Linked DNA regions of Stegostoma tigrinum. The protein of the gene in region 1 purifies or fractionates together with the protein of each later gene. This does not show direct contact. Links are inferred from orthologs where the notes say so. Each region holds a gene or a part of one and is shown in the gene's direction. Other genes may lie near its edges. The genes, in order: tnip2, TRAF family member-associated NF-kappa-B activator-like and map3k8.

Region 1 (10,570 bases):
AGAGAGACACATTGCTGAACCAAACATCTAATCAGGACAAACACAAGAATGGCAACTTTTAAACAATCACAACAATTTACACTCTAGGGAAAAAGATGCTGAATGGTTGGCAAATCTGGTTAGCTGAGGCATTAGCAAGTGAAAACTGTAGGATGTGACAGGCTGCTTAACAAATTTCGACATGAGGGAATGTTACTATTGTGATATTTATAATAATAAAAAACAAATTTGATAGGGTCACTGAAAAAACAGAGGAATGAAGGAACAAAGGGCCATAATCTTAAAATTAGAACCAGATAATTTAGGAGGGAAATTGCACTGAGGATAGAGAATCTCTGGGCTCTTCACTCCAAAACAGCTGTTCATGTTCCATGGGAACGAATCCAAACTCTCAAGACTGAAAGTTCGATTTTGATTCAGGAAGGGATGTGGAGCAAAAGCAGATCAATTGGACAGAGATATAGATCAGCTACTGTGATGTAATGAAGTAGGCCTAAGGGGCTAAACAGATACCTCCTGTTCCTTGCTTGTATAGTTTTTTATTCTCTGAGATATTTTCAGGATCTAAGGATTCCTGGAGAATTACCAGCAGTGTCTCTGCAGCTACTTCCCTTAACATCCTAAAACGTGACACATCAGATCCATGAGATATAATAGTAGTTTCCCTTGTATGTATTCTCTAGTGATAACCATTGTGTTTATTTCCTTGCTTATTTTCTGTTTGATGATTCAATATCGTTTGGAATGTTACTAGTGTATTCTACAGTAATGACTGATGCAAAGTACTTATTCATTGCTTCAGTCATTTTCCTATTCTTCAATATTATTTTCCCAGCCTCATTCTCTAAGGGGCCTGTGTTCGCTTTGGCCTCTCTGTTCCTTTTTATATATTTAAAGAAGCTGTTGCTGCCTGTTGTGTTATTACTTGCAAGTTTACTCTCAAAGTTTATTTTCTCCCTCTTTATTATTTTTTTCTTTTGTTGCTTTTTAAAACTTTCCCAATCTTCTGGATTACCACTAATCTTTGCTATGCTGTTTTATGCTATCCCTAACTATCCTTAATCATGTTTAGTTTATCCCTTTTCTACAATCATTCATTCTCACTGGGATAAATCTTTGTTGTGAGCCATTAACTATTTTCTTAAATGTCTGCCATTTGGCTTTCCTACAAAACATAAAGATTTATCCCTGTGAGAAAGAAGAATTGTCGGAAGGGGATAAACTTGGGGGAAGCACAGTGGCTCAGTGGTTAGCACTGCTGCCTCACAGCGCCAGGGACCCGGGCTCATTTCCTGCCTCGGTGACTGTCTGTGTGGAGTTTGCACATTCTCCCCGTGTCTGTGTAGGTTTCCTCCAGATGCTCCAGTTTCCTCCCACAGTCCAAAGATGTGCAGGGTAGGTGGATTGGCCATGCTAAATTATCCATTGTGCCCAGGCACGTTTAGGTTAGGTGGGTTAGACATGGGAAATGCAGGGATAAGGGAGTGGGCCTGGGTGGGATGATCTTCAGAGGGGCAGTGTGGATTTGTTGGGCCAAATGGCCTGTTTAGACACTGTAGGGATTCTATGAAAACTCCTTCCCCAGTACACTCCAAATAGCTTTGCCTTCATTGCTTTGTAATTATTTTAGGTTTAACACAGTTGTTTCCGATCCAGGTTACTGAGTCCCAAACTGAACGTGGAATGCCCTGCCTGCCAATGTAGTTAACTCAGCCACATTTGGGGCATTTAAACAATCCTTGGATAAGCATATGGATGATGGTGGGATAGTGTAGGGGGATGGGCTTAGATTAGTTCACAGGTCGGCGCAACATCGAGGGCCGAAGGGCCTGCTCTGCACTGTGTTGTTCTATGTTCTATGTTCTATGAACGTTAAATGCTACCATGTTATGGTCAATGTTGCCTAAGGGAATCTTTCAACATTGAGATAATTTATTAAAGGTTGTTGACTTGCTCGCAGAGCTGGCTTGTTTTCATTCAGACATTTCATCGCCATGCTCGGTAACATCATCAGTGAGGCCTCCAATGAAGTGATGTTGTTCTACTCCGCCATCTGGTCATTATGGTGAGTACTGTCATTTCCTGTTTTGATCTGTATGGGTTTGTAAAAGGGATCCAATTTTGTATGTTTGTTAATTGCATTATGGGTTGACAACCATGCTTCTAGAAATTCCTGTACACGTCTATGTTTGGCTTGGGCTACTACAGTTACCTTGTCCCAGTTAAACTGATGGCCTTCGTTGTCCGAGTGTGCCGATTTTAAGGAAAGTTCATGGTGTCATTTTGCTGCTAGTTGATGTTTGTATATTCTGATGGCTGCGTTGGTTCTGCATGTTTGGGAACACTCACAAGGATTAAAGACCCCACTCCCACAACATGCAGAACCAACACAGTTTACAAATTTCCATGCAAGGGCTGCCACAAAAATTACATCAGACAGACAGAAAGGAAACTAGCCATCAGAATACACAAAAATCAACTAGTAGCAAAACAGCATGTCTATTTCTCCTTAATATCAGCACAATTGGACAACGAAGGCCATCAGTTCAACTGGGACAACGTAACTGTAGTAGCCCAAGCCAAACAAAGACACGCACAGGAATTTATAGAGGCATGGTTCTCCACCCGTAATGTAATCAACAACCATATAAAATTGGACCCCATATACAAACCCATACAGATCAAAACCAAACATTCAGCAAGCAAATAGAATTGGATGCCATATACAAATCCATACAGATCAGAACTGGGAATAACATTACTCGCCATAATGGACCAGGCAGTATAAATTCCAAATGGAGTAGAATAACATAGCTTCATCAGAGACTCCACTATTGATATCACCGACCGTGGTGATGAAATGTCTGAATGAGAACAAGCCAGCTTGGTGAGCAAGTCAACAACCTCACCCACAACCCGAGCTACAGATCTTGGCTAAAACCTTAAATAATTTATTAAACTTGCTTTCTTGTACTGGTTAAGATGTTTCTTCTTCTGCACCCGCAAATCGTGTCTCACTAACTTAACTGAGTTTTTTGAAGAAGTAACAAAGAAGATTGATGAGGACAGAGCAGTGGATTTAATCTAGATGGACTTCAGTAAGGCATTCACAAGGTTTCTCATGGTAGACCGGTCAGCAAGGTTAAATCACATGGAATACAGGGAAAACTAGCCATTTGGAAACGAACGTAGGAGACAGAGGGTGGAGATGGAGGATTGCTTTTCACACTGGAGACCGGTGTGCCACAAGGATCAGTGCTGGGTGCATTGCTTTCGTCAGTTGTACAAATGATTTAGATGTGAACATAGCAGGTATGGTTAGTAAGTTTGCAGACGACACCAAAATTGGAGGTGTAGTGGACAGTGAAGAATGTTACCTCAGAGTACAACAGGATCATGATCAGATGGGCCACTGAGGAGTGCGAGATGGAGTTTAATTTAGATAAATGTGAAGTGCTGCATTTTGGAAAGGTCAGTCAGGGCAGGATTTTTATACTTAATGGTAAGGTCCTGGGGACTGTGGCCAAACAAGGAGACCTTGGAGTGCAGGTTCATAGTTCCTTGGAAGTGTAGTCGCAGGTAGACAAGGTAGTGAAGAAGGCATTTGGTGTGCTTATCTTTATTGGTCAGTGCATTGAGCATAGAAGTTGGGAAGTCATGTTGCGGCTGTACAGGACATTGGTTAGGTCACTTTTGGAAAACTGTGTGCAATTCTGGTCTCTCTGTTATAGGAAGGATGTTGTGAAACTTGAAAATGTTCAGAAAGGATTTATAAGGAGAGTGCCAGGGTTGGAGGGTTTGAGTTATAGGGAGAAGCTGAATAAGGCTGGGGCTGTTTTCCCTGGAGCGTTGGAGGCTGAGGGGTGACCTTATAGAGGTCTATAAATCATGAGGGACAGAGGCAGGGTAAATAGACAAGGATCTGAAGAAGAGTCTAGGCCTGAAATGTCAGCCTTCCTGCTCTTCTGAGGCGGCTTCGCCCGCTGTATTCATCCAGCTCTACACCTTGTTATCTTAAATAGACAAGTTCTTTTCCCTGGGGTGGGAGAATCCAAAACTGGACGACATAAGTTTAAGGTGAGAGGGGAAAGATTTAAAAAGGACCTAAAGGGCAACTTTTTCAGGCACAAGGTGGTGCATGTATGGAACAAGCTACTAGAGGAAGTGTTGGAGGCTGGTACAATTACAACAATTAAAAGGCAACTGGATGGGTACGTGAAGAGGAAGGGTTTAGACGGATATGGGCCAAATGTTGCCCACAAATCTGCACCAATGATTTGCAAAGCCAAGATACCTGCTGAGATGGCATCCTAAACTAGAGGAGAAAGTAGGAGTTAGTCCCCAAACGATCCAAAAAGATTTACAGGAGAAAGTGCCTTTTTCAAAGTGGTCTGTGTCAGGGTTTGAAAGGGTTAATTGTCCCTAATGTCTTAAGCACCATCCACTATGATGATATCATAGGGACTTGGTGGGAGGGTAAATTTGGATAGTCCTTCCTCAATCTGTTCCTGCAGAAGCCACACCCAGCCTTGAAATTTGATCTGATCCCACAGTGTGAACTGTGAGAGTTGAGTGGTAGATCAGAAGTGAGGGGGTGTTCCTGTCAGACTGGGAGCACAGCTGGTAATAACTCAGTCAGGGCTCCACTGTGACCACTGCTGCCTCACAGTTCAGGATGACAACATTTCAGTTCTGACCCCACTTGAGCTTTCGATCCACCCCACCTTGCAAAGCCCAAGTTTAGGATTGTGAACAGCAAATGGCCAACAATCTAGGTCCTCCTTAATCTCAATCTAGACAGTTTCTAATCCATGCTGGAGCAAATGGGACTAAACTCAGGCCTCCCGGTTCAGAGGTAGAGTCATTGCCACTGTACCAAATGAGCCCATACTCTCAGTCTATTCCATCAGTTGCTATCATTAGAATAACCAACATCTTAATAAAAACAAAAGCCCTTTCTTGTTAAACTATCAAATCTGTTTTTCTCCAGCACACCAAACCAAGAAGGCCCTATCAGGAGAGAGAATAGTGGATGCTAGCTCACGATGGGCAGGACGGACGAATCATTATACAGCAGCAATGAAAAGGTCACAGATCCATTGACACAGATACTGCCTACATGATTTGCTCTTTCAGCATTTTTTGTTTATCTTTCACTACCACAAGGAGTTAAGGCCAAGAACATTTCAGGGGAAGCTTAATAAACACACCGCTGGAGAGAGAATGTGGTGAGACTTGTCCCTCATTGGGAAGTGTCAACAGGATCTATATCTGTGGTCTAAATTCTATTCAACAATCGTATCCGAACTCCCCACAGGGAGTTATCATTTGTCATTTGTCAGTGAAGGATCGGTGATGTATCACTTCCTGGAATTGATTGATGAAAAAAAACCCACACAAATAATTCTAACGTGTAGTTTTGAAAAACCTTTTTCGGCCGGTAGCTTCATTTACAAAACTTCCTTGCTGACAAACAGCCCGCTCACCATCCCACCTTGCCTTTTTCCTGGGAGAATCAGTGCCAATTGCTTTCTCTCGCCTTTCACATTCACATGAAACTGTAACTAAATTAGGAGAAATAACATGAAGCGGATGTTGCTGTAACAGGCAGCACACGCCCACTGGGCGAAGGAGTGTTGTGTAACGAATGTGACATGTGTACGGTTAACTTTGAGAGGGGAGGGGGAGGTCGAAGAAAAAGATCAGATTTTAAAGGTTGTAAACCCCTCATTTAAAGCAAAAGGGTAAATCCGAGCAGGAAGCGTCAGAACGTCACAAAACGTCCATCAACCGAGTTAGTTCCGGCTAGTCAGACACGTGTTAATGTTTAAAAAAAAAGTAGACCTGCTCCTGTGTTTTTTTGTTACGAGTGGTTTTCTTGGAGCTTTCAACTAGCAAATGGTAATTGGAACCAGACGGACACAGGCAAGTGAGCGGAGTAGAATCGGCCCCTTATTTTTCAAAAGAGAGAAAAGTACGAAAAAAAATCCAGAGAAGGAGGGGGATCCCCCGGGGAGGAAATTCCCGAGCTGCTGGATGGAAATACGCCGATTACGAAATGACATGGAGGGAACGGAATGGATACAGTCAGTCACTGCCCCTAGGACAAGGTTTAATCTCTTCATATTTACTATCTGCCTGTCGGAGTGAACGCTCCAGAGAATCCACATTTAGCTACAGTGTCTCCCATTAATTAGCTTTCAATGCTACTCAGAAAGTACGGACAATTTGTGCTAATTACTGCATTTTTAACATTGTCCGCAACCTCTGAATCAAAATTGAGACAGTAATCTATATATATATATTTAGAGACCGAGGGTCGACTTTTTTGGCAACTTTTTTTAACAATTTGACACAGCACACAATGTCTTCGTTTAGATATCTCTTTTTCTAAAAACTTATAAGAATTTCGAGAAGAAAATCCCGACTGATTGCTTCCCCCCCTTCCCGAGTCGGGGGAGGTCGCATTCAGAACAGCATTTATATACAATGTCTGTGGACGGCGATGAGAATGCGGAGCAGCAAAAGGACAGCCGGCTTCCGAAGGCCAGGCTAAAAAGCTACAACACCATCACCACTTTCTACCACGAAACCCTGCAGGAAGTGGGCCGCCTGAGTCGGGAGCTCACCCTGAAGGACGGCCTGGTCAAAGACCTGCAGGCTCGCCTGGCCGCCTACGAGGGCAGCATCGCGGTCGGTTTCGGCCAGGAGCCCGGGGTCAGCTTTGGTCCGTCCGGCTCCCTTGTGGACTGTCTGCTGCAAGAGGTGGGTAAAGTCAAAAAGGAGCTGGCGGATTCAGCAAGGATTTGGCAGCAAGAGAACACCAAGCTGAAAGAGGTAAGGGGCAAAAACATCTATCTGTAAAGATGTGTCTAGTATTTTTGGAAAAATAATAAAAATCTTCCTGTGGCATAGTGAAAATATATAATCCAGGTTAATTCACAAGTGAGTAAAACCTGCTGGGGTAAGGAATTCCCTTTTGTTCAGAATCAGTAGATGCTGACTTTTATCAGAATGGTTCTAGGAATGAGGAGTTTTGGTTTTGAAGATAGTTTGGAGATTTTGGGATTCATGTCCTTTCAGAGAAGATTAAGTGGATATTTAATTGATATTAATTTGTTTCATGGCTTATTCAAAATCAGGAGGTCTGGACAGAGTAAATTGTAAATGTTCCCACTTATGAAATGATGGAGGAATGAAAGGGCACAGATTTTAAAGTAATTGGCAAAAGCATTGAGGAAACTTTTTTTTAAATTGAGCATTTAAGGTCTAGAATGAATTGCTGGAGAACATGGTGGAGGCAGGATCAATTGAAGCATTCAAAAGGGATGTGAACTTACCTGAAACGGAAGAAAATGCAGAGTTATGTGAACATGTTGGAGAATATTATTAAATGAATTTCTCCTTTAGAAAGCTTGCACAGGCACAGTGACCTGAATGGCCGCCTCCTGTGCTTGTAACAACTTGTGTCGAAGGGATGTCGCACAAAGTTAAAACAACTGATCTGGATGAACTGTATTTTTGGATGTCTTTTAACAAAAATAATCAACTGAAGCCTGCCTAAGCTGATTGTGTGGGTTCTGATACACAGCATTGGTCTCAGTTGACGTAACAGTGTAACTTCCCTCCTTCGGAGGCCGGGAGTCCAGACAGCTAGTGACCCACCTTGAAATCGTCTTTAGATTTCAGGCACCCTCAAATGCATACGGGAGGATAAGATCTGATTCAACTAATACCCTTGAGGAAAGGAAAACAGCCCCTCGGGCTTACCTGTATGACTCCAGTTCTGCCCAATAATGGTCATGGTGGCAAGTCACTCAGTTGTATCAAATCTCTCCCAAGAGGTCCAGAAGAGTCACTATTACTTTCTTATTAAAGATGGCCAATAAGTGGTAACTTTGCCCTGGGGACCACAGCCCAATGAGGGAGAAACAAAGAATACATTTTTTTTAAGGAGTAAAAATTACATTTTTCTTCTTTTCCTAAATGTCAGCCACATTAAAAGGAATGCTTTTTTTATGAGAAAATTAGAGAAACACATTGTCTTTGTAATACCTTGTCCCAGAGTATTTCTAGGTAATAAAGTACTTTTGAAGTGCCATCACTGTCGCAATTTAGGCTCAAGTTCCCAAAAACAGCAGGTAATAAAGATCAGAATCTGTTACAGTAATATTGGCTGAGGGATAAGTACACTGCGGAGAATACCTCTGCACTTCCACAAAACTGTAGTGTGCTATCACCTGAGAGGGCCCGCAGAGCCTTATCCAAAAGACAGTGTCTCTGATAGTGCAGCACTAGGAGTGTCAATCTAGATAGTCAGAAATTGCATGACACCAGGTTTTAGCCCAACAAGTTTATTCAAAACCAAAGCTTTTGGCGTCTCGCTCCATCTTCAGGTGTTAGTGAGAGAGGTGGTATCACTATCTCTTACTAACACCTGAAGAAGCACTGAGGCTCTGAAAGCTTGTGTTTTCAAATAAACCCGATTTTGACTGAGGGATAAATATTGTGCAGGTCACCAGGGGAGACTCCTGTACTCTTCCTTGATTAGGGGGCCATTGAATCTTTATGTCAATCCCAGCTGAAAGAAGTCACCTTCATTCTGACACTGGGGATGTCAGAGCTTAGATTTTGCGTTGCTGTAGGAATTGAACCTGCAGCTTTCTGAACCAGAGATGAAAGTATGATCCACTGAATCACGTCTGACCAATCATCTTGCTGTTGGCCAGACATTTGGTTTTCCTGTTTTTCCATTTCTGAAGCTAGAAGCCTCCAACCTTAAAATTCCTAACTTCTGCATTTACTCCATGAAGTCCTCTCTTCCTCATGACTCCACTGTTGTCCACCCAACTGATTCACAGCACCCTTTGTGTTCCTAGAATGTCTGACATCCATTCACAACAACACATCTCTGTAATATTGATTTTTTTTTCAGGATGTCAGTATCGCTGGCAAAGACATTGTTTTAGTGACTGTCCCAAGTTACTCAGAGAAGGTGGAGCTGGCCCACTGTTACGATATCAATGGTGGTTTGATACAGTAGAGTGACTGCTTGGCAATTGAGTAATTAAGAGCAAAGCATGTTGGTCATTCTTCCAATAGATATGATATGATATGAAAATACTCAATGTGGTCCTTTTGAACTGAGAACAGAGAAGAACGTCAACATAGTATGAGAGGCTGCGACTGATAATTTTGAGATCAAATTTCAGCAAGAAAGTGGGGAATTTAAACTAACTTGATAACATAAATCTGGCATCAATTTGCATCTGTAAGTGCAAACACAAAATTACTGGATTTTTCTGTTTACAAGTTTCCTATAAGGAAGGAAATCTGTCCTTGCCCAGTCTGGTCTCCATGTAACTCCTGATCAACAGCAAAGTGATGGAGTCTCAATGGCCCGAGCAAGTCACTTCCCCCAAGATAGGGATGAGCAATGAGTGCTGGCCTTTCCAGCAATGCCCGCATATCCTTGATTTGAATAACCAAATACTTGTGAATTTGTGCGTCCAAAATTGATTTGTGTCAGCAGAGGTTCTGCTTCTTCCAGAATCACTCTGTGACTGCCATAATTATGAACTTCCCCCTTCTGCGTGATCTCTTTTATCCCACCCACGTGTAAATCAAACTGATCTATTAATACCATGTAAGTTTCAGTCCCTGGGGTAAAGCAGCTATGGCTACAGAGAAATTTGAGAGATTATGCAGGAAACTCAGTGGCACTTTGAGGACTCTGTATTCAAAGTCGACTAACTCAGGTGATCTGAAAGGTTTCTTTGAAAAAACCCACTTCTTTACTTATGGATTAGTGAGAATGTGGAACTTGCTGTCAGAAGAATTGATTGACTTGAGAAGCATCAATGCATTTAAGGGGAAGCCACATAAACACTTGAAGAAGAAGAGATTCAAAGGACGTGTTGATGGGGTTAGAAGATAACGGTTCATGTTGTATGAGCTCTGGTGCACACCAAATGGCCTTCGTTAACACAGTACAGTTTCTATTTGTTTGCATTGTTCAATTTGAATGATAGGATGATTTAGGTATTCCATGGGGGCGGGGTGGGGGGGAGGGCGGAGGATCTTTCAACACAGTAGCCTGTACTGGTTACTTTGCCCACGGGTAGCTCCCTCACTTTTCAGCCAGGAGGCTATGGCTACAAGTTCCACTTCCAAACTCGAACAATACATTTTGGTTGTTGTTCTGTCGCAGTCTTGAGGGGGCTGTTGCACTTTGAGGTACCACCTTTTGGGTAGGATATTAAACCAGGACTGTCCTCTGATGGATACAGAGATCACGTTGTACTATTCTGACAAAAAGGAGGTTCCTGGTTATCCAATATTTATCTCTCTATCAACTGCTCTTTTTGGGAGCTGGCAATGTATAAATTGGCTCTTCTTGCCTACAAAACAATATTGAGTAGAAATATAGAAAATGGGAGCATGAGGGGCTGTTTATTCCATCAAATCTGCTGTGCCATTTAGTATGATAATGACTGATCGTCCAACTAAGTGCACTGTTCCCACTCTGTCCCCAGACCCTTTGATCCCTTTCGGCTAGGAACTATACCTA
Region 2 (11,029 bases), on another chromosome or scaffold:
GATCGCAACAAATGTTTATATAAAGAGCTCTGGAAGGAGATTGAAGCTTTATCAGAGTCTAAAAGAAAGTGTTGGTCAACCATGTTGAAATGAAAATATTTAAAGAAAGCATTTTGGACTCAAGAAGCAGAACTCGGCAGAGTGTAAGTAGTTAAACACAAAATACATGCAGTAAAACACCAACTATTCTCTAAGTAGCCAGGTGAGGAGGGAGTGGGCTTGATGGTGCTTGTCAATGGGAATAGTGGAGCTGGGGTGAATGGAGGGGCTGGTGCTGGGTTTGAAAAGTGTAGAGCCAGAAAGGCTGGAATTCAGGGGATGCAGATCCAGTGGTAGCAGCAGGGAACTGGGATGGTGCAAGGGAGGGGAGCTAGGGGTACCAGAGTGGGTGGCAGACACGAGCTGGGTTTGCTGAGGAAGAAGGAGCGGATCTGAAGGGCTGGGTCTGCATTGTACTTGAGGGAACAGGACCTGGGGCTGCTGGGGAAGTGAGGAGGAAGAATGGAGTACGTTGCTAACGAGACCAGAGACGGGCTGCCAGGGAGTGTGAGGCCATGTACTAGATGGGGCAAGGTGCACTGGACGGAGCAGCACCAGGTGTTGATGTTGACAGGGCATAGTAACAGGTGTAGGGCTGGTTGCAGTTGGGACACTGGTATAGAGCAGAACCAGGGTGTTGGACAAGTGAGCAGAACCAGTGATGTATGTGGGAGAGGTCAGTGCAGGGGAGTGTGTGGGGAAAGTGGGCATGAGAGTCCAAGTGTGTAGTAAAACTATAAGTCTTCAGAGACAGATGGAGTATTGGTAGAGGAGGTGTCATGAGTTGCAGATGTCATAAAGTCATACAGCATGGAAACAGGCCCTTTGGTCCAACTAGACCATGCAGAACATAATACCAAACTAAACTAGTCCAACCTGCCTGCACTTGGCCCATAACCCACCAAACCTTTCCTATTCATATGTTCCTCTAAATGTCTTTTAAACATTGTAATTTTACCCACATCCACCTATTGTTCAGCAAGTTCATTCTGCACGCGAACCACCTTCTGTGGAAAAAATTTGTCTGTTATGTCTTTTTTAAATCTCTCTTTTCTCACCTTAAAACTGTGCCCCTAGTCCTAAAATTCCCCGTCTTAGGGAGAAGACAAATATCATCAACTCTATCTATACCTCTCATTATTTTATAAACTTTTATCAGGTCACCTCTCAACCTCCAACATTCCAGTGGAAAAAGTCCCAGCCTATCCAGTCTTTCCTTATAACTCAAACCCTCCATATCCAGCAACATCTTGCTAAATCTGTCCTGAACCCTCTCTAGCTTGGATAATATCCGCCCTATAACTGGATGACTAGAAGTGGATACAGCATTCCAGAAGAGGCCTCACCAATGTCCTGTACAACCTCAACATAATGTCCCAATTCCCGTACTCTAAGGACTGAGCAATGAAGGCAAGCATGCCAAATGCCTTTTCAGTCAACCTTCCCAAGTGATGCAAACTTTAAAGAATTATGTACCTTCACTCTGTTCCATAGCACTACTAAAGGCCCTACCAGTAATTGTGTAAGCCCCATTGATAAAGTAGACGTACAGAGAGTGTTTTCTTTCATGGGGCAGTCTAGAACAAGAAATCATAGTTTTCTGATAAGGGGTAGCATTGGAAAGACCATGAAAGACCTGGGTTCTCCCAGGACAAGTCTGAGTTGAGAACCACCATCACCGTCAGAAGATGTCAAGATCATCACTGGATCATGATTGTGAACGGATCTTGAAGGGTCATTGGTTGAGCTAGGCTGAAATTGGCGCATCTTTATGCTGGCTTCAGCAGCAGAGTTTCGGGGCTATGGCTTCTGCTAGTGCCCGCACGTCAGCCTAGGCAATTAGTGATACAGTCAGGGTGATTGTGAAGACGGTGGAGGAAAGGTCGCCGGTCAACCGGACCTTCTATGTGAAGAGACTTCTCCAGGATTGCTGCAGGATCCAAGCAGCAGATATTTTTTGTGAGTTTACAAGATCCTGTCCAAGAATTCTTGAAAAATTACTTCTGCGCATCTTGTGGATGGTGTATGTTGTCGCAATTGTGTGCCATTGGCGAATGCTCAAGATGGTGGATTGGGTGTCAAATTAACTGCTGAATTATTTGTTTTATTCATTTATGAGATGTGGCTGTTGCAGTTGGGCCAGCATTTATTGCCTATCCCTAATTACCCAAAGTCAGTTAAAAGACACCGTATTCTTGTGGCTGTGGAGTCACATGTAGGCCAGACCAGGTAAGGATGGAGGTTTCCCCTCCAAAAGGGCATTTGTGAACCAGGTGTGTTTTTCCCAACGTCAACAATGGATTCACAGTCATCACTACATTCATAATTCCAGATCTTTATTGAATTCAAATTCCACCGTCTTGTGTGGCAGGATTTGAAGCCAGGTCCCCAGAACATGAAACAAAAACAGAAATTTCTGGAAGAGCTCAGCAGGCCTAGCAGATCTGTGAAGAGAAATCAGAGAGAAATCAGGGTGGCATGGTGGCTCAGTGATGCTTCACAGCACCAGGGACCCAGGTTTGATTCCCACCTCGGGTGACTATCTCTGTAGAGTTTGCACGTTCTCCCCTCGTCTGCATGGGTTTCCTCCAGGTGCTTGGGTTTCCTCCCCCAGTCCAAAGATGTGCAGGGTAGGTGGATTGGCCATGCTAAATTGCCCATAGTGTTCAGGGATATGTCAGGTAGATGGAATGGCCATGCTAAAATTGCCTATATTTTTCAGGAATGTGTAGATTAAGGGGATGGGTCTGGGTTGGATTCTCTGAGGGTTGGTATGGACTTGTTGGGCCAAAGGGCCTGTTCCCACACAGTAGGGATTCTACAAAAAGCTGATGTTTTGGCTCCAGTTCTGAGGAAGAGTCACTGCACCTGAAATATTAACATTGATATCTCTCCACAGATGCTGCCAGACCCGCTGAGCTTTTCCAGCAATTTCTGATTTTGTTTCTGATTTAACGCATCCACACTTCTATTGATTTTTATTTCCCCAGAGGCCATTGCCTCCCCCTCAAAGTTTCTTGGATGTTTTTTGAGCTGCACTCAAGTGAAGCACATTTGAGCATATTTTAAGCTTGTGCTTCATAAATGGCAGGCAGGCTTTGGGGAGTCAACAGGTACGTTTCTTACTGTAGAATTTCAAGCCAACACCTACTTTGATACCAAAGTATTTGTGTGGCTAGTCCAGTTAAGGCTTTAGTTGATGGTTAACATCCTGGATATTGATTGTAAATGGCATGGAACATAAATAGGAGATGACTGAATTCTCTCCAGCTGGAGACTGTCATTGGCTGATAATTGTACACTATAAATGTTGCTTACCACTTTTAACTCAAGCCTGAATATTGCTTAGATCTTGCTGCTTCAGTATCAGAAAAGTTATGAATTACACTGAACAACATGCAAGCAACAGCAAACGTGCCCACCTTATGATGGAAGGCATTTTATTAATAAAACACTCGGGTAGAGAGAATCATTTTCAACATTACCTAGTGTGAGGGTAAGAAAGATGACACTTAATTTTGGGTGAATGGAGTTAAGATGGAAGGAGGTGAGTCTCAGATGAGATGAGATCAGGAGATAAACTTGAGAAGAGTGTTGCTGTGGTTGGTGGGGATTTCTTAATTCCAATTAAGTCCTTGAACCCCTCACTGCTGTTAAAAATGAGGAAAAAGGGAAATAGTTGAAGTTATACAAGAAACTGTGACTGCATGTAATTAGTGAAGGACAATAACTATTGTTTTTATCTAACTTACTGCCAGACATTTTAACAATCTGAGATAATAAAATGTGAGGCTGGATGAACACAGCAGGCCAAGCAGCATCTCAGGAGCACAAAAGCTGACGTTTCGGGCCTAGACCCTTCATCAGAGAGGGGGATGGGGGGAGGGAACTGGAATAAATAGGGAGAGAGGGGGAGGCGGACCGAAGATGGAGAGTAAAGAAGATAGGTGGAGAGGGTGTAGGTGGGGAGGTAGGGAGGGGATAGGTCAGTCCAGGGAAGACGGACAGGTCAAGGAGGTGGGATGAGGTTAGTAGGTAGGTGGGGGTGCGGCTTGGGGTGGGAGGAAGGGATGGGTGAGAGGAAGAACCGGTTAGGGAGGCAGAGACAGGTTGGACTGGTTTTGGGATGCAGTGGGTGGGGGGGAAGAGCTGGGCTGGTTGTGTGGTGCAGTGGGGGGAGGGGATGAACTGGGCTGGTTTAGGGATGCAGTGGGGGAAGGGGAGATTTTGAAACTGGTGAAGTCCACATTGATACCATATGGCTGCAGGGTTCCCAGGCGGAATATGAGTTGCTGTTCCTGCAACCTTCGGGTGGCATCATTGTGGCAGTGCAGGAGGCCCATGATGGACATGTCATCAAGAGAATGGGAGGGGGAGTGGAAATGGTTTGCGACTGGGAGGTGCAGTTGTTTGTTGCGAACTGAGCGGAGGTGTTCTGCAAAGCGGTCCCCAAGCCTCCGCTTGGTTTCCCCAATGTAGAGGAAGCCGCACCGGGTACAGTGGATGCAGTATACCACATTGGCAGATGTGCAGGTGAACCTCTGCTTAATGTGGAATGTCATCTTGGGGCCTGGGATGGGGGTGAGGGAGGAGGTGTGGGGACAAGTGGGGACAAGACACACTTGTCCCCACACCTCCTCCCTCACCCCCATCCCAGGCCCCAAGATGACATTCCACATTAAGCAGAGGTTCACCTGCACATCTGCCAATGTGGTATACTGCATCCACTGTACCCGGTGCGGCTTCCTCTACATTGGGGAAACCAAGCGGAGGCTTGGGGACCGCTTTGCAGAACACCTCCGCTCAGTTCGCAACAAACAACTGCACCTCCCAGTCGCGAACCATTTCCACTCCCCCTCCCATTCTCTTGATGACATGTCCATCATGGGCCTCCTGCACTGCCACAATGATGCCACCCGAAGGTTGCAGGAACAGCAACTCATATTCCGCCTGGGAACCCTGCAGCCATATGGTATCAATGTGGACTTCACCAGTTTCAAAATCTCCCCTTCCCCCACTGCATCCCTAAACCAGCCCAGTTCATCCCCTCCCCCCACTGCACCACACAACCAGCCCAGCTCTTCCCCCCCACCCACTGCATCCCAAAACCAGTCCAACCTGTCTCTGCCTCCCTAACCGGTTCTTCCTCTCACCCATCCCTTCCTCCCACCCCAAGCCGCACCCCCAGCTACCTACTAACCTCATCCCACCTCCTTGACCTGTCCGTCTTCCCTGGACTGACCTATCCCCTCCCTACCTCCCCACCTACACCCTCTCCACCTATCTTCTTTACTCTCCATCTTCGGTCCGCCTCCCCCTCTCTCCCTATTTATTCCAGTTCCCTCCCCCCATCCCCCTCTCTGATGAAGGGTCTAGGCCCGAAACGTCAGCTTTTGTGCTCCTGAGATGCTGCTTGGCCTGCTGTGTTCATCCAGCCTCACATTTTATTATCTTGGAATCTCCAGCATCTGCAGTTCCCATTATCTCTGATACCATTTTAACAATCTGGCTACTTTTATAGCCTCCTGCAGTGCCACAAGGATGCCACCCGAAGGTTGCAGGAACAGCAACTCATATTCCGCTTGGGAACCCTGCAGCCTAGTGGTATCAAGGTGGACTTCACCAGCTTCAAATGCATCCCAAAACCAGCCCAGTTCGTCCCCTCCCCCCACTGCATCACACAACCAGCCCAGCTCATACCCTCCATCCACTGCATCCCAACACCAGCTCAGCCTGTCTCTGCCTCCCTAATCTGTTCTTCCTCTCACCCATCCCTTCCTCCCACCTCAAGCCACACCTCCATTTCCTACCTACTGACCTCATCCGACCTCCTTGACCTGTCCGTCTTCCCTGGACCGACCTATCCCCTCCCTACCTCCCCACCTATGCTCTCCTCTCCACCTATCTTCTTTTCTCTCCATCTTTGGTCCGCCTCCCCCTCTCTCCCTATTTATTTCAGAACCCTCTCCCCATCCCCCTCTCTGATGAAGGGTTTAGGCTGGAAATGTCAACTTTTGTGCTCCTGAGATGCTGCTTGGCGTGCTGTGTTCATCCAGCTCTACACTTTGTTATCTTGGATTCTCCAGCATCTGCAGTTCCCATTATCTCTGGCTACTTTTATATATTGGCAGTGTGTTTTTGGGAAGGGATTTAATTTCATAGCATCATTACCAGATTATAGTGTACTTCTGGAGTAAGGCCCAACATTGTTTATCAGTGTAAAGCTTGATCTCAGGGGAAAGTCCTATCTCAGGATTTAAACAAGTTTGAGGTTAAGCAGCTACACACACATTCTAGTTTTAATCTTAGATTCTTGTGGGCACTTGATAAAGCAATTTGTTCCACTGGGGATGGCAGCACCCATGGAAAAAGGTGCAAAAGTGGTTAGGTCTCAGCATCAGACAAAAATCTGTTAAAATTAGCAGTGAAACAGTGGAGTCAGTCACGTCGGTTGTACTTCACGATAGTATGCTCATTTCCAAGTGTGGCTTTTTCAAAAAAACGCTATTTTAGTGGCTGTCTGCCTCTCTTCCAGGGAAATGGTTGTGCTTTTGGAGAAGGTAATCCACTTGGTGCTGATGCTTTCCATTATCAGTGGGCACAGCAGAGTGTGGGTACAGAGATCAATAAAAAAAGTTATGATTTCATTGAGAAGTGATTCATTTGTTTTCGTGATTATTTCGTCCTCATTTAGTCTGTCCTAGTGCTGTCGGGCCCAGGCAAGGCCAGGCCCCCATACCTCCCCGGGCTTGATTTAGAGAGTGCGGGTTATGAAGATGTACAGACGGGGCAGTTGTGCTTCCTTCCCCCTCGGTTTATGACGGGCTACCGGAGGGAGGGAGGGAGTGAGGAAGACGGAAGTCAGGCGGCGCTGAGGACGGGGATTCCCCGCCGGGAACTTCCGAGCTCTCCGTCTCGAGCGCAGCGCCGGACCGCAGCCAATGAGCGGAGCCGGTTTAAATTAACAACGGCCGAGGGAGCAGCGCGGTGGGGCTTCGGCTTGATCGGTGAGTCCGGGCCTCCATCACCGCACTTCAGGATTCATGATGCGACTGTGCTGGGGGGTGGGAAAGGCATCCCAGGCCTGGGGCTCTCAAGGAGGCCGTTGCCTTAAATGTCACTGATGTCTCAGGTGATTGCTGCTGAGGCCTACTGACAGCCTTTGGTCCCCACCAGCACTCATGTCCATTCGTGTTTCAGCGTAACTGATCAGTCAAAGTGCAGCTCCCTGCCGAGCCTCCAGTTTATTGGCTCTCGTTTGATTTGCCTGAAACTTAAGTTAAGCAAACTCTTGCATTTGCCACTTCGAGTAATCTTGCGTTTGTCATTTTGTTTTAAAAGTGAAAGTGCTCACACAAAACTAAAGTGTATGGACATCTTATCGTCACATGTTTCACAGGCACTTCCTTGGAGGTGATACAGGTTGTGAGTTACTGTAGGTGAAGCTTTGGGAATGACTTACATGTGTCTTAGATTAGATTCCCTACAGTGTGGACACAGGCCCTTCGGCCCAACAAGTCTACACCACCCTTTGGAGCATCCCACCCAACCCATCCCCCTATATCCCACACACCCCTGAACACTATGGGCAATTGAGCATGGCTGATCCACCTAACCTGCACATCTTTGGAGATAATGGGAACTGCAGATCCTCTGATGAAGGGTCTAGGCCCGGGGCATCAGCTTTTGTGCTCCTGAGATGCTGCTTGGCCTGCTGTGTTCATCCACCCTCACATTTTATTATCCTGCACATCTTTGGACTGTGGGAGAAAACCATAGCACCCAGAGGAAACCCATGCAGACACAGGGAGAATGAGCAAACTCCACACAGACAGTCACCTGTGGCTGGGATCGAACCCAGGTCCCTGGTGCTGTGCTAACCACTGACCCACCATGCCGCACCTCTTGTAGCTGCTGAACAGCCAAGGTAGAATCATGGAATCCCAACAGTTTTAGAAGATGGATAGTGTGCCAATGAAGTGAGCTGTTTTGATATGAAGGGTGTTTTATTTTTGGGCTTTTTTGTTTTGAAGCTATGCTCAACCAGGCATGTAAAAGGTATTCTTTTCTTTGTTTAACAGAGTGAGTCATAGAATCCCTATGGTGCCAAAAGAGGCTTTTTGGCCCATCTAATCTGTACTGACTTTCCAAAGACCATCCCACCTAATCCCATCAAACCTATATTTACCATGGCTGACCCACCATCACTTACATAGAGTCATACAACATAGAAACAGGCCCTTTGGTCCAACCAGCCCTTGTTGAACGTAATCATAAACTAAACTTGACCCACCTGCCTGATCAGTTAGGAATGAGTCCAGGGTGTGCACCCTACTGCGAGACTTCCAAGCCCAGAAGGTGCCCTGGATTCAGTCAGGGCAGACACCAGGTCATGTCACTTTGTAGAATAGGGTTGTGACTGCACCGGAACAATACCCTGCTGGGGGTCTGGCCTGTTTACCGAAGGGAGTGAATCCTGGATGTGTGAGGAAACCAGAGCACCCAGCAGAAACCCATGCAGACCTGGCAAGAAAATACTAACTCCACACAGACAATCGCCCAGGGCTCAACCTGGATCCCTGGTGCTTTGAAGCAGCAGTGCTAATCACTGTGCCATTGTGCTGCCCCCTAAAGAAGAGAGAACAGTGTGGGTGTGCGCGCGCGAGTGGATTTTCAAAATAGTCAAGCTACTATCTTCAGAAATTAAAAGTAGGAAAAGCTGGAAATAACAGTTTGTGGATAGGGAATACGGAGTTACCCGGGTTGATCACCTGATGTATTAACTTTGTTTCTTTGCTCATATGCTTATATTAGAAGTTTATTGTTTGGAATATGTACTTCTTCAGCAATGAACGGCTGATGTGTCTCCTCGGTTATATGTGTTTTGGGTCCAAGGAAAGTTGAATTGACTTGAGATTGCATGGGTAACTGTAGCACAGTGAAGCATAGTTCAGACTGGACAAACATTTTTAATCTGTGAAATTTGACTGTGCAGTTAACTCTGCTAATGTCTAAAATCTGTTTTGCTTCTTGGGTAATTTGCATTGTGCTTCATTCATGTAGAGAACTCTAATCTATAGTCAGAGAGATATGGAGCTTTTAGTACAATTTCAGGGTATCCAGGGCTGGTACTGTATGACTCTGAGCAAGAACATCAGAAAGAATAAGCAAGAGTAAGCCATTCAGTGCCTTGACCCTGCTGCGTCATTCCAGATCATCTACCTCTATACTATTTCTCCTCCCTTCCTCCTTGTCCTCATATCCCTTGGATTTAGAAATATAACAATCTCTGTTTTGAATATACTTTGTGACTGAAAATTCTTTCTCATTTCCTGACCTGCTGCATTGCATCTTTTTTATGATGCTTTCTGAAAATTCATACATCACATTCACTGGTTCTCCCCTTTATCCATTTTGCTAGTAACATGGTCAAAAAACAGGTTTGTCAAGCGTAATTCCCTTCAATGAATCTTTGACATTGGCCAATCAGATCATTATTTTCTAAATGTCTAGCTTTTTTCATAATAGATTCTAGTAACTTTTCTACTAACATTAAGTTAATAGGATGGCAGTTCTGCACTTTATCCCTCCTGCCTACATTAAGTAGTCATATTACATTTGCAGGCACCATTCCAGAATATCTAGAGATTTGTGAAATGATCACCAGTGAGCGCACAATGTGCACAGCCACCTATCATCAGGCCCAATGCGTTTGTCAATGTTCAGTCCTGTTAATGTGTCCAGTACCACTTTGTTAACTTGCATTTTTTTTCAGTTCCTCATTTTTGCTAGTCCATTGAATCTTTATTTCTGGTAGGTTTCATGTGTCTTCTGTCATGAAAACTGGCACCAAGTAATCATTTGGCTTCTCTGTCATTTCCCTATTTCTCTATTATAAATTGTGTTTAAAGGAGCCACTGTTTCTTTTTACTTTTTTTTCCTTTACATTGCTGAAGGAGCTTTTCCTGTCTGTTTAAATATTTCTTGCTAGTTTACATTCACGTTATTTTCTTCTTTTATCAGTTGATCCTCCTTATGTTCTAAAATACCCCTAATGATAGGTTCATTACCTTTTTATGCAGTTTTATATATCACCTGCTTTGATCAAGTGGAAACTTTAACTTCCTTTGTCAGTCAAGATCTACTCACACCATTTTGGGTTTTTTACTACCTTACAGAGATGTATCTTTGTTGAAAACCATGTGTTAATTTTTGTTTTTGCAAATGAGCCACCAAACCTTTTTCTGGGTGACAGCCAGTGACTCAATGGGTACTTTGGGGATCAGAATTTGTACCCCAGCTAGTCACAATATACACATGAATGATTTAAATGAGGAAATTAAATGTAGTGTTTCTACATCTGCAAATGGCACAAATTTGAATAGGAAGCTGAACTGTGAGAAAAATGCAGAGATGCCTTCAGTGTGATTTGAACAAGTTGACTGAGTAAGGAAATGTATGACAGATGAAGTATTATGTACATAAACGTACATAAATACTTTGAGCAAAAATAGGATGGCACATTATTATCTGACTGGTGATAGATTAGATCAGGAAAGGGTGTGGTGCAACGAGACCTGGATGTCCTGTACACCAGTTGCTGAAAGTTAGCACACAAATGGTATGTTGGCCTTCACCATAGGAAGATTTGAGTACAGAAGTAGGGATGTTTTGTGGTTGCACAGGGTCTTGGTGAGACCACGTTGAGAATATTATGTACAGTTTTTGTCTCAATATCTGATCAAAGTTATTTTGGCTAGAAAGTGAGTGTTGTAAAAGTTCACCAAACTGATTCTTGGGATGCAGAACTTTCATATGAAGAGAGGTTGGTTCAGTTAGGACTATATTCACTGCAGTTTAGAAAAATGAGGGGGAACCTCATAGCAACTTTTTAAATTCTAACAGGATTTGGATGTGAACATAGGAGGTATAGTTAGTAAGTTTGCACTTGACACAAAATTGATGATGTAGTTGACAGTGAAGAAGAAGT
Region 3 (11,087 bases), on another chromosome or scaffold:
AAAAGTAGGGAAGTGTAGCTGCAGCTGTACTGTGCATTAGTATGACCAGACCAGGAGTATTGCTCCCCTTGAAGGATGTCAAAAAGCCGGTGTTGGAACGCAGGTAGACAAAGTCAGAAATCACATGACACCAGGTTATAGTCCAACAGATTTATTTGAAAACACAAGTTTTTGGAGCGAAGCCCCTTCGTCAGGTGAAATGAGAAAGAAGCGCACAGGACATTGAATTTATAAGTAAAAGATCAAAGGGTCACACAACTGGTGAGAATATATTAAACAAACCTAAGATGCTGGTAATTATTTAATCATTCAGAAAGTTTTAATTGATTATATGTGTATATGTAAATCCCCAGATTTCTTTCAAGTCACTGCCCTGAGAGAACTAAAGGTGTTATTTGTGTAAAAAAGAGGTGATATTTTAGATCAGACAATGCATGTTAGGTGTGAGGCCTTGTTTAGAATCTGTTTGTGTTTTGTTTTGGAGTCAGACTGGTTTTATTTCTAAAGAAGGAATTTATAAAATGCCATGTTATCTGACTATGTATAAATTGTATGCTTTTTGGACAAAATAGAATGTATTTGCAAATACAAATTCACCCTATAGATGATTTGTGTGTGTGTGTGTATGCGCGTGTGTATGCGCGTGAGAGAGAGAGAGAGAGAGAGTTTGTGCACCTGTATGGGGGAGAGAGAGAGTGTGTGTACGGTGGGGGGGGGAGAGACAGTGTGTGTGTGTGTGTACTTGTGGGAAGGAGAGTGTGTGTGTGTGTGTGTGTGTGTGTGTGTACCTGTGTGAGAGAAAGAGAGAATATCACAGACACACCGTCTCTCACACATACACATGCATATTTTCTCTCTTTCCCACACATACACACTATACTCTCCTCTCCACCTATCTTCTCCTCTATCCATCTTTGGTCAACCTCCCCCTCTCTCCCTATTGATTTCAGAACCCTGTCTCCATCCCCCTCTCTGATGAAGGGTCTAGGCCTGAAACGTCAGCTTTTGTGCTCCTGAGATGCTGCTTGGCCTGCTGTGTTCATCCAGCTTCACACTTTGTTATCTTGGATACTCCAGCATTTGCAGTTCCCATCATCTCTGATCACAATTTAAAGACAGCCAGTCAATGTGGCATTTTATAAATTCCTACTTTAGAAATTAAACCTGTCTGAATCTAAACCATAACAAACAGATTCTAAACAAGGCCTCACACCTAACATACATTGTCTGACCTAAAATGTCACCTCTTCTTTACACTGATAACACCTTTAGTTCTTTCAGAGCAGTGACTTGAAAGAAATTCAGGGATTTACGTGTACATTTTAATCAATTAAAACCTTCTGACTGATGAAAGATTTAACAGCCTCTTAGGTTTGTTTAATACATCCTCATATTTTACTCTTGATCTTTTACTCATAAATTCGGTGTGTTCTGTGTGCTGATTTCTCACTTCACCTAATGAAGGGGTTATGCTCTGAAAGCTTGTGTTTTCAAATAAACCCCTTGAAGGAGGCTCTGGAGGCAGTTCAGAGGAGGTTCTCTCTGATTTCAGAGATAAAGGGTTTTCTTATGAAGAGAAACTGAGCAATTTATATCTATACACTGTAGAGTTTAGAAGAATGAGAGGAGATTTGATGAGGAAAATATAAGTTTTAAAGGGAATTGACAAAGTAGGAGTCGAGCGGGTGTTCCTCTAGAACAAGAGGTCACAGTTTTAGGATAAGGGCAAACAGATTTAAAGCAGAGATGAAAAGGAATTACTTCACTCAAGGGGTTATGAAACAGTGTTGGTCTCCTTATCTAAGGAAAAATATACTGGCATTGGACACTGACCAAAGAGGGTTCCTTGGATTGATCCCAGGTACGAAGGGATTTTTCATATGAGAAGTTGAGTAAGTTGGGCCTGTACTCATTGGAGTTTAGAAGAATGAGAGGCAACCTTGTTCAAATATTTTAGTTTCTTAGATTCAAAGAATCTTAGTATGCTTGAAAGGTAGATGTGGAGAGATTATTGTACAGGGGACATAATCTCAGAGGAAGTGTTCACTGATCTAAGACAGAAATGAAGAGGAATATCTTAGAGAGTAGTGAATCTGCTGAATTCTTTACCAAAGACAGCTGTTAAAGCTGGATCACCAAGAATATTCAAGGCTGATAATACAGATTTTTAGTTAGTAAAGGAATCAAGTGGCATAGGGAAAAGGCAAGAAAGGGGATTGGCCATGATCTAAACTGGGGAGGTAATGGAGAAATACAGCAGGCCAGGCAGCATCAGAGGAGCAGGAAAGTCAATGTTTCAGGTTGGGACCCTTCACCAGGAGTTGAGTCCTGATGAAGGGTCCAGACCTGAAAGTCGACTTTCTTGCTCCTTTGATGCTGCCTGACCTGTGTTCCTCTAGCCTCACATTGTATTGACTCTGACTCCAGCATCTGCAGTTCTTGCTGTCTCCTGCGAGGTAATAATCTAACTGTAATATCACTGGGCCAGTCATTGAAGGACCCTGAATAATGTTATGGGGGCATGATCTCAATCTCCCTGTGTGTTAGAGCAATGTTTTAGCCTTTACTGCTCGGGTTGGAGTTTAAAAATAAGTAAGTCCTATTACAACTGTACAGGGTATTGAAGAAGCTGCACCTTATGTACTGCATACAGTTTTGGCCCCCATATTTAGACAAGGATATACTGGCATCGGAGACAGTTCAAAAAGAGATTAACAAGGCTGATTTCTAGGATGAAGGGGTTTGGCTTACTAAGAAGATCTAAATAGCTTAGGCCTTAATTCATTTAAGTTTCAAAGAATTAGGAATTAATTAGATTGAATATATAAGATGCCAAGGGGGTTCAACAAAGTAGATTTTGATGTTTCCAGTTGTAGGGTAATCTTGAATTAGGAGATATAGTTACTGAATAAGGGATACTAAAACCAAAGAAATTTCTTTCCTCAAAGGGAGTAAATGGCTGAAGTTTTGTACCCTAGAGAGTGTGGAGGATGGATCACTGAAAGATCTTTAAAATATGAAGGAATTGACAACCTTGAGGAGTTGGCACAAAAGAGAATTTCAGGCCTTGGACAGATAAACCATATTCTTATTGAATGGTGGGACAGGCTTGAGGAGCCAAATGGCCTACTCCTGCTGCTATTTTTGTTCTTATTGGCATGCTCCTACATTTTTTAATCTGATTTGGCAGCATCTGCAGGAAAGGAAACAAAGCTAATATTTCAGGTTAATGATCTTTCATCAGAACTGGGGTTAACTTTGCTTATCTGCACAAATGCTATATTTCAAGCATTCTCTGTTTTTATTTCTGTTTTCCAGCCTTGTGTTTTCCTTGAGCAAGCTATTAGACTAAGTGACTATTCACCCCAATTCTTCTGGTGTTCTCTAAAGTTCCCTGGTCCTTGAATACTCTTATCCTGGAGACAGAAGATGCTGGAGAAACTCAGTAGGTCTGATAGCATCTGTGCAAGGAAGCAGAATTAATGTTCAAATCCAATGTGATTTCTTCAGAACAAAGTTCTGATGACTTTCTCCAGCATGTCTGCTTTTGGTGAATTTTCACTGAGAACATGAGCTGGCCTTGAGTCAAGTATAATGGTGCTGAAGTTCTTGCCATATGCAGAATAGCTGCCAAGTTTCCCTTCCCACATCACAGCCTAAGCAATTAATTGCAGTGCTGGAGACAATCGTAGAGACCTGTGTAAACCAAATTCTTCCAATCCTGGTATTCTGCCAATCTATTCACAGGTGCATCTCTGTGTTACAGTTTTACAAACACAAATGTTAATAGATCATAATATAAACTCAGTGGCTTAGTAATTGAAAGCCAAATTGAAACACTTCCAAAAATACGAAGAGTATTTGAGTCTGTGTCTGTTGTTTAAAAGGGTGAGTTATTAAATCTCCCTCATATATCTATTCTTCTCACAAGTAAAATATATTTTTCTATGTGGCGATGTCAAGAATCAGTATCACGCAGTTTCTAAAGCAAAGAATGATCCAGATTCAGATAGCTAAATTTTGAAAAGGAAAACGTATCTTCTGTCGATGGAAAAAACTGACTGTGCGTAACATTGACGTACTTCGGACAGTCTCCTGTCACATAAAGGACCAGTGAATGACCGCGCCACAAAACAGGAAGCGACTTCTTGGTAATGGAGATTACATTTTTAAGGTATATCATCTTCTAAAGAGATGATCGGCGACCCACGTTTTGAAACAGGTACAAAGCCAGTGCTAATCGTGTCCGGCATGTCAACACCCACAGCCCTGAGTATGTGGCACCATTACACCAACACTGCAGTCAATTAAGTAAAAACAATCTTTTACTTTATTATTCGGGTCGATCAGAGCCAAAATACTGTCTTCAAAGTACGGAAAATGTCAAAATGAAGCGCGAAAGTATTTAGAACAAAAATCTTAGTGATAATCACACTCAATGTTAGGTTTAAAATTTTGATGATCGGTATTTTATGACTAAGACATTGCAAAAATACTATTCTTGAAAATAAAATGCAGGCGTGCCCGTTCAACACTAAATGGAGTCAGTCTCACTTGCTGACTGAACCTGATAAGAGAAACTCTTAGACCAGGTCACGAAGAATGTTAGCGAAATTGACAGCGACTCAAGGGTTAAAACCGAAGAATGGATAACCGATATGATAAACAGGCTGGTGATGCGGTAAAGGGTAGCCTTCCATGAACTGTGGAGGACGTGTGCGCCGGAGGAATTCCCCAGTCATTGCTACTGTGAGGGCTACATGGCGCCAAGTAGTGCGCACTTGTATTTTCATTTTCTTTTCCGGTTGGGTATCGTGCATTCAATCGGAAGATGTTTTTACCCCTCACGGTTAAGTCTATTTTCGTCAACATGGGGATTTTATTATCGCGTTTACCCCAATGACATGGTGGGGAGGTGCTGTGACTGGTGGTAGAGTGAAGGATTTAGAGTGAAGGATTGGGTTTGTTCATTAATGGACAGTTAGCAACTCCCATTTTTGTAATATCCTGTTGTAGATGTCAGCTCTTTTCGGGTTAATAGCTGCAGTATGGTCCGAAGCATTTCCCCCCAGAACGTATATGTATTTTCATTGTTCGAAATAGTGTCCTAGGCTAAACCAATATTGTCTCATCGAACCCCCCCCCCCCCCCCCCCGCCATCAATATTATCATCATCAGAATGTGAATGTTCATTGGTTGCATTGTTCAATTCTGTTTGCAATTCCTCACAATAAGACTGCACTCAGTTTTGGTCTGACAATATCATACAAGTCCTAGGCACTGTACGTCTCCAACAGAAAGATTTCAACCACCACCCCGAACACTCAATGGCATTACCATTGTCAACTGCTGCACCATCAGCAAAAAAAACTCTTTAGATTAATACAGCGCAAATAAAAGGACAGAATCCAGAGGATTACCACTGATTTGAAACTGAAAGTGATCGGCCACATGCGTGCTGTGGTTACCAGAGCTGGTCAGAAGCTGGAAAGTCTGTGGAAGCAAGTGGTCTCCTGATTGCTACCCACCACGATAAGGCAGAAGGCAGGTTGATAGAATACTCTGCACTTTTCCTGCACTGGTGTAGCTCCAACAGCACTGATGAAGCCCAGCCATCTAGGACAAAGCCGCCCGCTTGATTGGTACCTCATCCTCTACCATCTTAAACATTCATTACCTCCAACAAAGTGTGTACCATCTACAATGTTCACTGCAACAGCTCAGTGTCTCTGTGGCAGCATCTTCAAAACTCACATCAGGAAGGACAAGGATAGTGTGTGCATAGCAACACCACCACCTACAAGATCCCTCTAAGCTTCACAGCATCCTAGAACTATATTGTGGTTCTTTCATTGTCACTGGATCAAAAACTTGGAGTGCCCTCTTTAAGAGCAAACTGTAGCAACACTGGATGGAGTCAGTGGGTGAAGCAGGTGGCTCACCACCACCTTCTCACGTATGAGCAATACATCCAACTGAAGTATGCTGAAGACTGAATTTTTAAACATGCACAAGTGATAATAAAAGCAAAATATTGTGGGTGCTAGAAATCTGAAACAAACTGAAAATGCTGGAGAAACTCAGCAAGTCTGGTAGTATCTGCGGAGAGAAATGCATAAGTGAACCTGTTTGTATCTTGTTATAAAGCAAATACTTGTGGACGCTGGAATCTGAAACAACAACAACTTTTCGGGGGGGGGGGTGGGAAAACTCATCTTTCTCCTTTTATCGGTGTGAGCCTCTAGCTGACCGCCCCTGCTGCGCAGCTATATTTTACGTAGAATATTACTTATTATTTACAGCATAGTAATAGGACATTCGATACAACTCCATGCCAGCAGCCTTACTTCATCTCATAAAGAAATACCTGCATTTAAATGAGGGCTGTTATTGGTAATACACCGTCGTAGAGTTATCACGGCACAGACATAGTAATGCTGTGTAATCCTGTCGAATCTGGGGCAACCCCGTCTAGGTTGTGTCCCGCCCCCTTGAGCTTGCCGCCCACTCACTCGGTTGTCAATGGCTCCGTGTACTGAAAGCTGAGCTCCACCCTTCTCACTGAAGCTGGGGAATCTCTGCTCGGTATCACATGCTTGGCAGTAGAGCTAGAGCGGGATCATGGCAGCAGTGAGACGCCGCCGCTGTTGCTGGTGTGTCTCTGCTGTGATGAGGTGCTGATGCTTTCTGCTGCATCTGTTTTGTCAGGGCAGACTGTAGTGATCGAAAGAGAAAGGCAATGGAGTACATGCTGACCCAAAGTATCGATAACGCCAGGTTGGAATTGCTGCTGGAGCTAGATGTGATGGATTACCTCGAGGCATTTTACCCCTTGGAGGACACAGCACTCTACCAGGACAATATGCTTTCGCTGGAGCAGCACTCGGATGAAGGAGTGCCAGAGAATAGGGCCAGGGACGGTCAACAGCCGACCTTCTACTCTGTCAGATATGGCACAGTGGAAGATTTACTTAACTTTGCAAATCAGGTGTCTAATACGTTCCGCAATTACCCCCAACGCTTCCGAAACCGCGAGACAGGAGTAATATTAAACAAGGTGAGCGAGGAATGTTTTGTGTACATGCAAGAGGTTGTTTAGAATACAGTAGTTTCTACTGTGTCGCCTTTTAAAAATCGCTTTTCAAATAGACTTGTGTTCCATGATTTTGTAGCGTCTCTTGAGATGGAAATTGGTCCAAAATGGATCCAAATCTTTTTGAATATACTGGATATTGACAGATAAGAATCTTGAATTTATATAGCGCCTTTCACTATCTCAGGGCGTCGCGAGTTGTTTTACAATTTATGAAGTACTATTGTAGTGCGGTCGCTGTTATAATTTAAACAGCCAGAAGCCTGTCTAATTTGCCTGAAGAAATTCTATAACAACTTGTTTAATATCAACTGAAACCATGAAGTGCAGCAAATTAGTTTTTCTTTTATTCCGTGCGCTCGGAAACAAGGTTCTTTACTTCATTTTTAAAATGCTAACGTGATCTAACTAGAACAGGTTGGGAACTGCAAATGTGATGTTAAAGAACTATGAGCAATTCCAGAGTAACAAATTGCAGGTCACCTGCGGCAAACAATTCTGTGCATAACAAGGTGTCACAAACAGTCATGCTTTTTTTTGGAAATGATATTAGTTTAGGCTGAGGACACTGGGAGAATTATCTTTGCTCTTTTACACATACTGCTAAGGGATCTTTAGCGTTTGCCAGAGAGGACAGATGAGGCATTAGTTCAGTATCACATCTGAAATACAGCATTTTATGGAGCTGTAGAGTCATACAGCATAGACATGGGCATTTCAGTCCTACTTGTCTTTGCCAACTAAATTTCCCAAACTAAACAATCCCACTTGCCTGCTTTTGGCCCATATTCTTCTAAACCTTTTTCCAGTTCATGTACCTGTCCAAATGTCTTTTAAATGTTATAACTGTACCTGCATCTACCATTTTGTCAGGTAGTTCATTCTGCATATGAATCACCTTGCATGTGAAAAAGTTTTCCCACAGGGCCATTTTAAATCTTTCTCCTCTCGCCCTAAAAAAATGCCTTGAGTTTAGATCTCCCCTACTGTAGTGAAAAGACCTTTGCTATTTACTGTATCTCTGCCCCTCATGATTTCACAGTGTTGCAATGTGTGACTGCTAGATTTCTGATGAATGGAAAATATTCTGCAGCACAACCTAGTTTTAAACTATTTTTAAATCCACCACAAGTGCTATTTGTGTGCAGATGTGCGTTTACCATTTACAGTAGGCCTATTTTCCTCAAATTGCCATTGTGGGAGGAAAAGTTAAACAAATATTCTTATTGCAGTTTCTTTTAGTGGCTTTCTATTTATTCCACAGAAGGATATAGTTATTAAAAATGGACATTATCAGATTGATTCAGAAGTCTTCCTGTTTCCATGGAAGTTTGCCCATAGGAACATTGGTCCTGGTTACATTCCTCGAGGTACTTTTGGAAAGTGCCACCTTGCACAGGACAGAGAAACAAAGAAGCGGATGGCATGTAAATTAGTAAGTCACTTAGCATTTTGTGAATACACTCTTTTACCTACTGAAAGATATTTTCAAAGCATATATCTTTATTGTTGAAACTTTACAAAGTTGTATAAGAATATAATAATTTTAGTAAGTAAAAATGTGAATTACCTTAACAAAACCAACACATTTTGAGTAATCTTAATTCTTCAACTTAATCTGTCTTGAAAAGCACATCTAGATCTCTCAGACCCATTTTATTTATATTGTTCACTTTAATGCCGCCTTCTTGTAATTTGCATGACAACTCTTTGCCAAGAAGTGGTTCCATGTGACTTCCCTTTTTATTCCTAACTTCCTAATTTTAGTTTGAGACTCCTGGTATTTGAGTCCAACAGCACAAGTAGAAATGTACTCCTTCAATCAGTACTTTTTTTGTTATTTCCTTTTGTAATCTTCAAAATTTCAATGAATAAAGGCATTTCAATGAAATAAAAATTTGACAGCATTTTTTTAAAGATGTGCACTCCATCCTGGTCCATTATGTCATTCACTGCAGCCAAGCAATCCAATGTACCTGGGCACAAACACAGGAAAGTTACCCCTGCAACTGCAATGCTTATTTTATTTGGGTGAAAGAAGTTCCTATAATTTGTATTTAAAATTGACTTTCCTATATGTTGAAAACTGTGGTTTTATAGTTAACAAACTGACTGGTTTCATTTATTTTGCTCTGCAATTCTTTTTTCCCCAACAAGCCATATTTTGTAAATATAAAAATGTATAAAACTAATAACCCCAATAGTGTCATGACCTTTATCTGATGATTTAGTGATCTAGAAAGTAAGTATATTTGCAAATGTCTTAAATGAGTTCTCCAAACATTTGCACATTGCATTTAATGAAAGCGTTAAAATGGCAAACCCAAGTTTTTTTTTTGGTTAAGATGTGTTTGGAGCACACAGCAGCAGGAGGAGTAATCACACCAAAGATGTTCATGAAGCAGATTCCCACTTTCAAATATGCTGTCAGAGGAAATGAAATCAAAAGCCAAGTGTTTCTTTTAATTTGACAGGAAATAAGTTTACAGGGTGGAGAGGAAATCATGTCCCACCATTTTCACTTGTCTCTCTGGATTTAAACAAGGGGTGACGTGGTACAAGTAAATCCGACCATAGCCCTACTGGACCATATGGCTCCTGTGTCATTAGAGAGGTTTAACCTGAGGATCGCCACGCATCAGGTGGGGGGAGAAGTTCAGAAGGACAGCACTTCATTGATAACCTCAGCTGATGTGGGAATTGAGCTCACACCACTGTGCGTCACGTGCTTGCCATCCAGCCAACTGAGCAATCTGACAACCATTGCAGCTGTGCTTGTAGCTTGGCCAGTAGGTGGCCAAGGGAAAGCTAAAATGTGCAATGGTAAACCATCAATAAGTGGAAAACAAAAAGGGTGAGAGGTGAAGGAGAAAAAGATTTTCTTGAAAATGTAAGTTGAAAGTTAAGTGATTTTAGCGTATCCTTACCTTTTCGGGGTTCTCCACATTGCTATGTGGGTGTGTGCATTATATGTTGCATTCCTGAGCTGGACAAATGACAATAAACTGAATGTTGCTACTGGTTTGTTCTGAATTAATTAATACAATGCCAGAAGTTAGTACAACTGGCCTTAGTATCACTGGGCTAATAATAGGAAAGGCTGACCATGATTCCAACTCTCATAGTGTGAAGGTGTTTAGATGCTAACTGAGGACTGTATCAGGCTGTCTAAGTGATTAAATAACCTCCTGAAGTTTACAGTCTACACTTAGACTACTGTGAACATTTTGGTCCTCTGATTTATGGAATGATATATTAGCACTGAAAGCAGTTCACTAGGTTTACTACAGGTGTGGAGTAAATTTCATATGAGTAGAATGAACCTGTAATCAGTGGAGTTTAGAAGAATTACCTGATTAAATTATAAAATATTCTTTGGCATTCACCCTGTTAAACCTCCCCTATGTAGGGGAGTCTAGGACCAGAGACTCAAAGTGAGGGGTCACACGGTTAAGACAGAGCTGAGGGGGAATTTCTTCTCCCTATAAGTAGTGAATCTCTGGAATGCCTTATCTCACAGTCTGTGGGTCTGTGTAATTATATATGTTCAAGGCTGAGAGATTTTTAATCAATAAGGGAATCAATGATCGTGGAAAAGGCAGGAAGGTGGAGTTGAGAATTATCAGTTCAACTATGATTTCATTGGTGAAGGTGACACAGTAGGCTGAATGGCCTATTTCAGCCCTTTGTATTTTGATATTATTCTCACACCATGAATGACCATTTAGGGGACGCAATATTTCAGCTTGGATTATTGCCAGTGGGACAGGGGACAAGGGAATTGATGAAATAAATGTGCTCTTTTTCTTATATAATCGACGTTTTGTTTCAAATTCAAGATACCAGTGGAATTTTTTAAGCCTGCTGATATACAAATACAAGCACAATTTCGCCATGAGAACATTGCAGAATTATATGGTGCCTTACTGTGGAATGAAACCATACATCTCTTCATGGAGGCAGGAGAAGGAGGTTCCGTTGCAGAAAAATTAGA

The links.
Region 2: the proteins of tnip2 (region 1) and TRAF family member-associated NF-kappa-B activator-like purify together in Homo sapiens (affinity purification with mass spectrometry; 3 studies listed by BioGRID and IntAct, with this or other methods). This does not show direct contact. The link is inferred for Stegostoma tigrinum from reciprocal best matches to the Homo sapiens genes TNIP2 and TANK.
Region 3: the proteins of tnip2 (region 1) and map3k8 purify together in Homo sapiens (affinity purification with mass spectrometry; 3 studies listed by BioGRID and IntAct, with this or other methods). This does not show direct contact. The link is inferred for Stegostoma tigrinum from reciprocal best matches to the Homo sapiens genes TNIP2 and MAP3K8.

What each region holds. Positions count from the first base shown.
Region 1 is NC_081356.1:130,374,149-130,384,718, forward strand, and holds the start of tnip2 (TNFAIP3-interacting protein 2), read left to right. Parts: upstream 1-5,668; 5' UTR 5,669-6,489; coding exon 6,490-6,837; intron 6,838-10,570. UniProt on the Homo sapiens protein: Inhibits NF-kappa-B activation by blocking the interaction of RIPK1 with its downstream effector NEMO/IKBKG.
Region 2 is NC_081360.1:59,987,063-59,998,091, forward strand, and holds the start of TRAF family member-associated NF-kappa-B activator-like, read left to right. Parts: upstream 1-6,562; 5' UTR 6,563-6,599; intron 6,600-6,812; exon of another isoform or gene 6,813-7,046; intron 7,047-7,109; exon of another isoform or gene 7,110-7,171; intron 7,172-11,029.
Region 3 is NC_081355.1:126,052,610-126,063,696, reverse strand, and holds the start of map3k8 (mitogen-activated protein kinase kinase kinase 8), read left to right. Parts: upstream 1-6,613; 5' UTR 6,614-6,739; coding exon 6,740-7,057; intron 7,058-8,357; coding exon 8,358-8,528; intron 8,529-10,932; coding exon 10,933-11,087.